Linked DNA regions of Caenorhabditis elegans. The protein of the gene in region 1 interacts with the protein of each later gene in a pairwise test. Each region holds a gene or a part of one and is shown on either strand. Other genes may lie near its edges. The genes, in order: C29F5.1 and lgc-22.

What was found.
Region 2: the proteins of C29F5.1 (region 1) and lgc-22 interact in a two-hybrid assay, tested with the Caenorhabditis elegans proteins (one large-scale study listed by BioGRID).

The regions. Positions count from the first base shown.
Region 1 is NC_003280.10:6,301,879-6,306,993, reverse strand, and holds C29F5.1 (START domain-containing protein), read right to left. Parts: upstream 3,470-5,115; 5' UTR 3,440-3,469; coding exon 3,356-3,439; intron 2,914-3,355; coding exon 2,740-2,913; intron 2,610-2,739; coding exon 2,407-2,609; intron 1,871-2,406; coding exon 1,676-1,870; intron 1,630-1,675; coding exon 1,443-1,629; intron 1,094-1,442; coding exon 785-1,093; 3' UTR 711-784; downstream 1-710. Other genes in the region: C29F5.8 (DOMON domain-containing protein), read right to left, coding at 1-19, 320-565.
Region 2 is NC_003282.8:4,299,221-4,305,153, forward strand, and holds lgc-22 (ShKT domain-containing protein), read left to right. Parts: upstream 1-2,085; 5' UTR 2,086-2,088; coding exon 2,089-2,676; intron 2,677-3,111; coding exon 3,112-3,246; intron 3,247-3,351; coding exon 3,352-3,399; intron 3,400-3,553; coding exon 3,554-3,842; intron 3,843-4,822; coding exon 4,823-5,100; 3' UTR 5,101-5,228; downstream 5,229-5,933.

The DNA.
Region 1 (5,115 bases):
CGAATACCGTATCATTTCCCTGAAACCCAATTTAGATGAAAACGGCTACGAGGTAGATTTGCTATGAGCGAGCTCCATAACAGTCATACTTTTAAGCTAATCGTTTTTCTGTTATCCTGGGATGATGATTATAGGCGCTCTAGAAAATTAAAAAAAAACTGTATTGCTAGCCGATAAAAATGAGGAGTTTGGCAGTTAAGAACAGGACTGGAACATGATAAGTCTTACACACGATTTTTTAAAATTTGAATGCTTTCACAATTAGCAACATTTAGAGACAAGAATAAAGCAACATTTCAAAACTTCCAAACAAGCCTACCATCAAACCATCTTTTGAAAATCCGAAACCGAGCCACATATCAGGCTTCACCAGTTTACTTTCAATTTCAATAATCAAATGTCTTCTTTCATGTTTCCACGTCATCATTGTCTGACAGTCACTGGCATCTTTACATCCATTTGGTAGTTTCCAACAACCTCTTGCAGTTCCACAGTCACTGATATGAGTTACGTGGAAACTAGTGACGTGGCATATGAATAAAATGAAAAAAATGAATAGAATCATCATAAGTTTGAATCAACATTGATCATATCAGAGGGGCCATTTATAGGTGTGTTTTAAGCTGGAAAGTCTAGAAATAACAACGGACATTGTTCTTCTTTTCCAAGAAGTGATGATAAAACTGGTTTCTATTTAATGATTCTCGCTTCCAAAACACAATTATTTATTTGTTAGAACACATTATACAAAAAGGAAATTAAATTGGAAACGGTCATTCATCAATCACTTTTGCTCTTCTGGCTCATCATCTTTGCATTGTGTAGCCAAGAAATCACGGACTCCCTTACTGATTCCACCAGTTGCTTCTTCGTGTTTCGCGAAGATTTCCAGATGAGCTTTTCCTTTCCACACAAGTCCACATCGGAAATTGTCATCGTTCTTAGTCAAGAATTTGTAAACTTTGTCAAGACAGTCGTGAACTTTGCACAAAGAGACCAACGGAAGGGGCTTCATCATTTTAGAGACATCTTGCAAAGTGTAAATAGCTGGCTTTCCGAAATCTCCGTTTCCTTTGAACCAACCAAGAAGCTCCTGCAATTAGATAATTTTTTTGATGGGTGGAAAATGTAAAATTATTGATCTGATGAGTTTTATTTTTTGCGCAATTTCGTAGGCCCATAACTATTTTATATTGAGAAAATCTCTCTCAAAAAACGCTGTTCATTATGCGCTCAAAAAATAATAAAATGGTAAAAGTTGTGGCAGAAGTTGCAAAAAGCGTGGATAAACCTTTTTTGTCCAAGTTGGAAGCATCTGTTGGAAATATCGTACCAAAATCTATCTACATATACTTGGACAAGACATTGACAAGATGTTCATAATTCTGTCTAAGTTACAGTCGAGTATAAAAATCTTTTTTCAAAATATTTCATAAACTTACATGGTTAGCATTAGTGAAGAACAACTGAGCCCACGTGAAAAATGGGAATCCAGCTCCTTGTGGGTATGTTGTGAGTACTTGAAGTGGAACATCATGTGGTACTTCTCCATAATTCACTACTTCAATATCCGGGTTCATATCACTTTTCTTTTTCTCTGGCAGAACTTCAGATTTATCTACTGGGACTCTAAAATAATTTAATTTTTTGTTTACTATTACAAAAAAAAACATACGGAGTGGCTTTGACAGCTGCATAATCAGCACAGTCAACTTCATATCTAACAAGAATTCGGAATTGCCCATATTGATATGAAACAAGTTGGAAGAATGGACCCGTTGAATGAGCACCACGGGGGCGAGTCATTCGATGTTTCAGATTTTGATCAAAAGTTACATGTCCGATTTCCATTAAATCAGAAGCTTCCATTCTGAAATACAATTATTGGTTTGTTTTGAGTAAATAAGAATACCGAAAAGTTTAGAAGTTTTGCTTTGAGAAGGGCTGACAAGGCAGATGTTCACTTTTTGGTGCGAATTTTTCAAGAATTTATTTCAAGTTCTAAACTTTTCTGAATTTTGAAAAATCCAGTTACTAAGCATCACGAAAACTATAAAAACTTTTTAAAAACAAAAAAGTTTTTAATAAACAGATAAAACTAAATTTTCTCGTTTTCAGTTTGCATGCCTACCGTATATCCTCTATTAGTTTTGCACCCCTTTGCTCAACTTTGACAGCTCATATCTCATTTTGTTTTGAACATATAAATAATTAACAAACTACATACTATAGAAAACCACCTAACAAATATTTTATCAGTTGACAACTTTTCTATAGAACAAACGACTACTGAGATATGAGCTGCCAAAGTTGAGCCAAGGGGTGCAAAACTAATAGAGGATATACGGTACCTTATTTTTATTTATTACCTATACATAGGTATATATACTACCTATTTATTTTTACCTAGTGAGCAGAACAGTCTTTCCAACGCGTTCACAATCGATTCGGAACAATCCTTCTCCGGCTTCATTACAGAATGCAAAAATCTTTTGCAAATTGATAGCATCCGTGATAAAATGGAATTGAGAGAAATCGATTGGTTTCTTCTTTTTCTCACTGAGCAAACGTGCCGCAATAATGATGGCATCCAAAGATCCTTCCCGTACCTGTAATTATATTGATTTCCAAATCAGCACATTGCTTGTAAAAATGGATTGATTTTTGTTTTCCAAATAAAAAAATCTACACGCTTCTCGTGCTTCAACTCGTGTTTCAGTCAACAACTTATGAACTCACTTTCAAATGATTGACGTCATAAATAATCACTCCATGATCTTGCATCAACTTGCCACCTGGCCAATAGAATGATTCAACAGGTGCTCCTGGAACAAGAATAGTTGCTGTCTCATCATTGAGATACCATTGATACGATCCAATACGGTCTACATATTTTGTACTTGTTGGTCCTCCCTGTAAAATTGATTTTTATTAACGAAAACAGTAGATGATTCGCTCTCACGTTTACTGTAATCTCACATTTACTTTCATACATTTTTTCCACAAAATCTTCAGCAAATCATTTAATTTTTAATGGATCTTTATACAACAAAAAAATTTCCATATATTTTTAAAAAACTTCCATATATTTCTAATTATAATATTTTCATAAGACATTTAAAATTTTAAGCTAGGAAACTTAAAAATTCTAATTTTTGTAGCAAAAAATCTAGAAGACAACTTTTAAACTAATACAATAAAATATCAAGAAGTTTTACCATGTTGGTTGGTCATAAGTGAATGCTCGGCATCTTCTCAATTGTGAAATTCATTAATAAGTAAAGAAATACAATAGCTAGAAAAACATTCTCCAACCAAAAAAAAAGTCCTACATCGATATTTAATAACTACTCACCTTTCCAGATAAATTGTTTAATGGAAGAAGACCGTATGGTTCTTCTTCAAGACCTTCAAACAACCAGAATCCGTCGGCAGACATATCGAACAGCGGCTATACGGCGATCTGTCCAGCGACGTGTTGTGTTTTAAAGAGAGGCCATTCTTCAGCACAACGGATCCCTACGAAAGAGAGAGAGAGAGCACATGAGGGGGTGTTCGGGAACAAAAAATAGTCTATGAAGACAGAGACTCAGATAAGATTACAATGCGGGGGAGCAGGAGCTCCCGTCCAATCTCATCGACAAAGTTTCGAAACACCGATGATGATGACGGGATCCCAATATCTCGGAGAAAATAAAGACAATGAAAAGATTTCGTATAGATTTGGAGGACACACGCACACATCGATTGACCATCACCTGGAGTGGGAGCATTGGGCTACGTTTTTGTGATAACGAATAATTTAAAATGTTGAGAATAAGTATTTCAGCGTTCGCTTAATTTATAATTTTCTAAAGACAGAAATCTGTATCACGAGGCTGTAGAATGACAAATATTTTATTTGAAAGCTCATAATGATAAATTTTAGACAGAACGATTTCCCAACCAGTTAGATTTCAAACCTCAAAAAGATTAGCAAATAAAAATTCGAGCAACATTAAACAAAAACTTGGGAACTTTTTTATTCAAAACGCTTCCATACTGTTCACAAAGGATGAATAAATATAAATTTCTGTAGACTGTTAATTCCCTTCAAAATATGCTAAATAATGTTGATTGGATATTTAAAAAAGAGACTCTGAAGAATATCGATGTTTGTGATCAATTGGATATCGAGGAGTATCAATTTCCAGAAGATTGTGCCAACAAAGGATCAAATAGAAGCTTTAGGGTTAGAATTGGGCAAACGCTGTCATCCAGAAAATTGGCCACTTGTGGCGTCCCACAAGGCGCAGTTCTGTCACCACTTTTGTTTGGTATCTATGTTAATGATATATCATCAATATTACCCGAAAAAGTAGCATGTAAACAGTTTGCAGATGACACGAAATTGTATGTATCGACCCCTAAGACTGAAAGCGAAAACAATTTACAGTCTGCTCTAGATGCTGTAGTAGATTGGACAAGGGGATCAAAACTCACTCTAAACCAATCAAAGACAGTTCACGTCACTGTAGAAAAACGTAGAATAGATTTCAAATACCACCTAGACGGTTACCCTATTGAACGAAAAGCTATTACCAGAGACCTTGGATTTTTATTCTCTGAAAAGCTGGATTTCTCTGAGCATTGGAAGAAATGTATCAATCTAGCTAAATTTCAACTGGCCAACATGTTCAACCAGTACAGTACCTCCAATAAGAAACTAATGATTCTCTTATACAAAACTTTCATCCGCCCTCGTTTAGAATATGGAACAGTAGTGTCTTCTCCGACAAAAAAATCGGATGAGAAAGCAATAGAGTCTGTACAAAACGCATTTTCTAGGCGCCTTTATAGTAGAATCAAAAAAAGATATATTAATCCAACTGATAAAGATTACAAAACTGCCATGGAACGTAACGAACTATTCGACCTCCAAACCTTAAGCACGAGACGTAAAATAATTGACAGAATCCAAGTAATCAGAATGAATACTGGTAAAGTAGACTTAAAAACATCTGAGTTTTTTGAGCAACAAGAGACCCACACTCGTTCTAAAAAGAAATATATCTGGAGCACAGGAAAATCTAAACTTAGGAGACACTTTTTTGTCAACAGAACACTACCCACAAT
Region 2 (5,933 bases), on another chromosome or scaffold:
ATGTTTTTAGGTTTGGTAGGAATGTAATAATTTTTTTTTAAAATTAATTTTTTCAATTGTTTATTCCATTATTTGTTATTTTTTTGTTTTGCAAAAAATTAAACGAAAATTCAATTTTTTCAGTTTTGGAGGAAATTTTTATTTTAAAAATTGGTTTTTTTACTGGAATTTGAAAACAGTTTTGCCGGAAATTTCAAAAAAAAAACTTTACAAAAATTCTAATGTTCCAAAGTGTTGTGAAGAGTTTTGGCGGAAATTTCAAAATTTATATTTTTAAAACAAAAAATTGGCACTTCGGGATAATTTTGATTTTAAATTATCTAACAATTTTTGGCGGGAATTCAAATTTTGTTTTAATTTTTTTCAAAGTTTAAAAACAATTTAAACTTTAGTTTAAAAAACAATTGGCGGGAAATAAAAAAAACATTTTTAACAAAATATCTTCCGACAAGACAAGAATTTCAAATATCTTTAAAAAATATAATTTGAATTAAATTTCATTTTTCAAAAAAAAGAACCGGAATTTCAAATTTTAAATATCCTTTTAAACATTTTATCCAAAAAAAAAACCGGTCCTCTCTTTCATTTTCAGTCTGGGTTAAAAAAATTATCTATAAAAAATATGTATAATTTTATTCTTCTAAATTGTTAGTTGGAAAACTTTTGATGTCCATAAGCAATTAAGTCATAAATCAAAAACCAGCGAAATTCTAGTTTCTATCTCAAATCCCGATTCCAAAATCAGAAAATCCCATGACAGTCTAATCCCATAACGATTTGATCATTGGAAAGCCCTTTGTCGGTTTTTGCATGTAGGTGTCTTTTCTCCCCCGTCATTATCATTATCTCGGGAACAGGCCCCCACTTTACAACCTTATCATTATCTCAGCAGACCTGTTGCGTCGTCGTCAACGAGATCTGATGAGAAGAAGCTTAAGGCGGTGGCGGCGGCGTGTGGCGGCTAACTAGCCTTCGGACAACCCGTTTGGGGGATGTGAAGCTGGGCGGACGGGTCTCTCTTGCTTTTTTGTCGCGTTTATTGTTTCTTTTTTCGAGTCGTTTGTGGTCATTATCGGCATGTTTCGTACTTTTGATGAAAACCTTGCTTTCCGAGAATCAATTGGTTTTAATTTTCATTAATTTATATTATGTAAATATGGAATTTTTTCAAGTAAACTACTCTCTCCAGTCTTTTTTGCTCATTCAATTTTAATAAGTTGCGGCCGCCGTTTCCCTACTTTCAATCCAAGCAGAGTTCCTCTAAGGCCCCTCCACTTGATTACACATATCGGTTAAATTTTTAATTTTTGTAAGTTTTTGATTGAAGTAATACTTTTTAAACAAAACTAAACCCAAACGAGATATAAGCTGTAAAAAAAAAAGAAATAAGAAAATCCGATAACAGAAACAAAAATTGTTTGTAAACATTTTCGTTCTGCATAACTAATTGAAAGTGAAGTTTTTTTTTCAATAATTTTCAAATCTATGAATAATCTTCAAAACGTTCACTAAGGCTTATCAAATCACCTGTGACGGCACAAAGGAGCTTTCTGTAGTTATAAAGAGATGGCCAAAGAGCCACACGTGAACTCACAAAACGAAACCTCTCATTGGCCGAAAAAGTTTTTAGGACGTCACCATTTTGAATTTTCTAGGCTCCCTGTAACATCATAATTGTAACCTATAGGACTAGCAGGTGACCGTGGCCGAGTTATTTTCAGGCCGAATGGCTTTGACCGAAGCAATTTCTAAGCTCACTGTCATCATTATATCTTCATCAATTTATTTTTAAAATGGTCAATTCAATTGATCATGTCAAAAAAGGTCGCCGTTCTTACACAAAGTCATATGGGGTAAAAACAGAAAAAAAACCAAAAAAAAGTTGAAAATCGACCATTTCAAATCTAGTTTACACAACAAAAAAAGAAGATACAAACGACGAAACCGGGGCGGTTCGTATTCCATTCCTCTCGTTACCCTTGACTACCACTTAATTATTGATGATCACTTTTCTTTTCAGTTGCCTTCTTTTTTTTTCAACCATTCTTTCAAGTCCGTTATACTCTTCAATACTTAAATACTTCCAGAATGCTTCGGCTTCTCATTGCCACGTCACTGGCCGCCACGTTAGCGTGGGCGGCGGGCACCGCCGGCGGCTGCGAGGACGCGGACCCCAAATGCACCGAATGGGCGGCCACCGGGGAATGTGCTACCAATGCGGTCTGGATGATGGCAAACTGTAGGAAATCTTGTCATTCCTGTCAGGGAGGAGACAGGGCCTGGAAGCTCAGGACCCATATCCAGACCACTTACCAAAATGCGACTGATAACAAGACGAAGGTGGTGAGAGTTGAGAGCGTCCGAATCAACAATGTCGAGATTGACGAACGTCGGCAGAATGTGAAGGTGTTTGGCAGATTCGTGCTCAGCTGGAACGACACTATGGTCTCTTGGGATAAGGAACAGTGGGGGCTCAGTTGGTTGAACTTCTACTGGATTCAAATTTGGACCCCAAATATTGTGCAGATCAACGGTGGCTCTACATCAAACCCTGGACAGGTGACATCAAAAGTTTTGGCTGCAAATTACACCGGACAGATCTACTTATGGTCGGATTTCTCATTCACTACACCGTTCAGATTCCAGTATGAAGACTATCCAAATGATATGCAGAGGGTGGGTAGATTTTATTATCAATGTTTTAAGAATCAATTTGCCGTTTGGCTTGAAAAAATTTAGAAACACGTACAAAACTATAGAAAAATACTGGTTTACAACATTCTGTCAGTTGGCAATTTTTGATGGAATATGCCAGATATCTTTTGAGAAACTTGAACAATTCGGTGCAAAATTTTTGAACATGGTGCATCGACCCAAATTTTATATCTTTTATCTCTATTTATTTCAAAATTATAGGGGTTAGAAAGCTGAAAAAGTATTAACCCAGTGACTAATTCGTAGGTAACACCTTGTTTGAAAACATGATTCACCGATTACTTATTAATGTAAAATTTTGAATAAAGTTTTTGAGATTTTAAAATTTGAATTTAAGTGTATAGAATCTTGTTTGACAAAGTAACCTTTTTTGAATTTTCAAATTTTCAAATTCAGGTTTGCTATAAATTCGACGACAAACGTCTTATGGCAGTACACTTCACAGTTGCAGAGGGTGTTAAGAATAAGGAAAGAGAAGCCACCACTGATCCATTCGTGTCTGGATGGAAGATTGAAGACGTTGAAGTTGTGGTGAGTTTTTGAGATACTTTGGAAACTTGCAGAAGTTATAGCATTTTTTCAAACCAAATTTTTTGTGTGTTTTTTTTTTAATTGAAATTAAAATTTTCTTTAAAGTCAATTACCCACTCTCCGGATAACGGAGGCACTGGAAAAAATGGATTGGCAAGTTTTGTGTGATGCTTCTCATTTCACAGCTTCTTGTAAATATAGTACAGAGCTTTCGCTTAATTTAACCGCAATATTTATCAATTTTTAATTCAGAGCTTCAGCTTCTACCTAACAGTCTCAATTTTCACCATTTTCAATGTTTTTTCAGGAATCCCCATACACCGTGGAGCAGCTCTCGGATCCTCGTCGTAATCCCTTCGATGTCCAAGCTGACAACGGTGAGCTCTGTATTTCGCTGAGAAGAAATGCGGTATATTTCACCGCCGAAATGTTGCTCCCAGCTCTGATCACCTCTCTATTCACGCTGGCCGCTGTGTTCTTCCAACTTTCTAAGACCCAGCCGATTCTTTTGGGATTCTCGGTAGTTGCACAGATTTTGTCACTTATTTTAGTGTCTCAGAGACTTCCATCGTTCACTGCACATACTCCAACTATTTGTAAGTTTATTTCTGTGCCAAGAAAGCTAATATGTGAGCGGATTTGCGTCAAAATCATTTGAAAATTAAAAAAAATTATTTTTGAACAAAAGTTAATTGCATATCGCTTCATTTTATTTTTCGGAAAAAACTACATTTCAGTTTTGCGCCAATTTAAATTGAAAGACTAAAAATTAAATTGTTAGCAATAATTTAAAATTTTATTATTTTTCGTAAAATTTTTTCCTTATAAAACTTTTTAATATTTTCAAATATTTTTAATTTTGGCCACTTCTAATTTAAACTCTGAAAAGTTTAGCTTGATCAAAAAAAGTTAACCTTAGTTTTTGAAAAAATTTCAAAATTTTCAGAAATTTTTCGAAATAATTCCCAAAAAATTCAAACATTTTCATACTCGAATATGTTAGGCTTTTCGTTGTTAAAACTGCCAATATGTGGACGGACGGAGTCGCATCAAAAATATCAAAAAAATTTTGAAATCGATTTTAAATAATTTTCAATCATTTGAAATTGGAATTTGCCGCCAGATTTATTTGAAAAATCGCATCTCGCCTCAATGTTTTTTTTTTTGGAAAAATTAAACGTTTTTTTTTTTTATATTTCAATTTGGTTTTATTTTTTAAATTTTTGGAAAAATTAAATTTCAATTTTGCACCAAATTAATTTGAACATTTTAAAGTTTGTCAAATACTTTTGGCTGAATTGTAAATGTTTTGAAATTAAAAAAAAACACCTCGAATTCAACACTTTTGGGAAGTTTAGCTAGATCAAAAAATTAAAAGCATTATTTTTTTATTTTACAGAACCAAGTTGTAAAAAATGATCAAAAGACTGCTAAAATTCAAAAAAAAATAATAAAAATTTTCCAATAACTTCCAAAACTTCAAATCGCTCTGAAATTATTGATATAAATTTTTTGCAAAATCTCAGAAAATTTTCGAAATTTTTCTCAAAGCTTCCGAAATTTCAAAATTTTTCAGTGAAATACGCCGGCTTCAACATGACGTGGACAGCGATCCTCTTCGTAATTTCCCTAGTTCTCGAGAGAATGGCAACTTCACAAGTAGACATCCCACCCCCACATGGAGTCTCCACATTTGCCGGGCTCGTGAACAAGTTCCTTCCAATTCCGAAGAACTCAAAACACGAAGATTCAACTCTCCAATACGCTGCATTTGCTCATGCTCTGAACCACGTCATCTTCGCTTTATCCACTGTTCTCTACTTTATCGTTATATTGTTCTCTTTTGTTTTTTAAATTTTAGTTTTCTTTTTGCAATATTTTTTGTAAAAATTAGTTGTTCTTGCTCAGTTTCTCTTGACACTAATAATTTCGCCATATCGAAAATCATGTATAATAAAGACATTTTTAATGAAACATTGATTCTAGCAATACTTCAATTCAGACCAAATTCTAACTTTTGTTTTCTAAATTTTGGTGGGAAGTACTTAAGTTTCGTTTCGACGACCTTTCGATCATGAAACTTCTGCCCGGCAAGGTGATTCTGGAGTGAGCGGAACAGATGGTAGTCAGTAGGAGCCAAGCCCGGCGAATACGATGGGTAAGACAAAATTTGGATTCCGACTGTCTGGAGCTTCTGGCGGGTCTTAGAAGTTGTATGCGGTCTTGCGTTGTCATGGAGCAGCAACAACTTTGATCCTCTAGGGCGATGTAATCGATGAGCATGGACCACCTCTTCCAATTAAATGCAGTATAGGCCAGCGTTGATTGTAGCAAAGTCTGGAAGAAGCTCTCTGGAAATGACACCCTTACTGTCCCGCCCAATTGAGAGAAGCACTTTTTTCCGTGAAGTTCTCATTTGAGGTCAGGTGTCGCGGTTTCCTCGACCGGGACCCACTCTTTTTTCCTGGTATGGCTAACATACAATACCCATTTATCATTTCCAGTAATGATATCCTTAACCCAGTCCGTTGTTCGTTTCCTAGTGAGCAGCGAAAGAGAGAGGTCACAAAGCAATTTTTCTGAGAATCGGACAATTTGTGAGGAACGAGTTGACCGAACTTTTCTATCTTTCCGGTTTTTTGGAGATGGTTGATGATGGTTTTTTGGGGATGCTTGAAAGTCGCAGA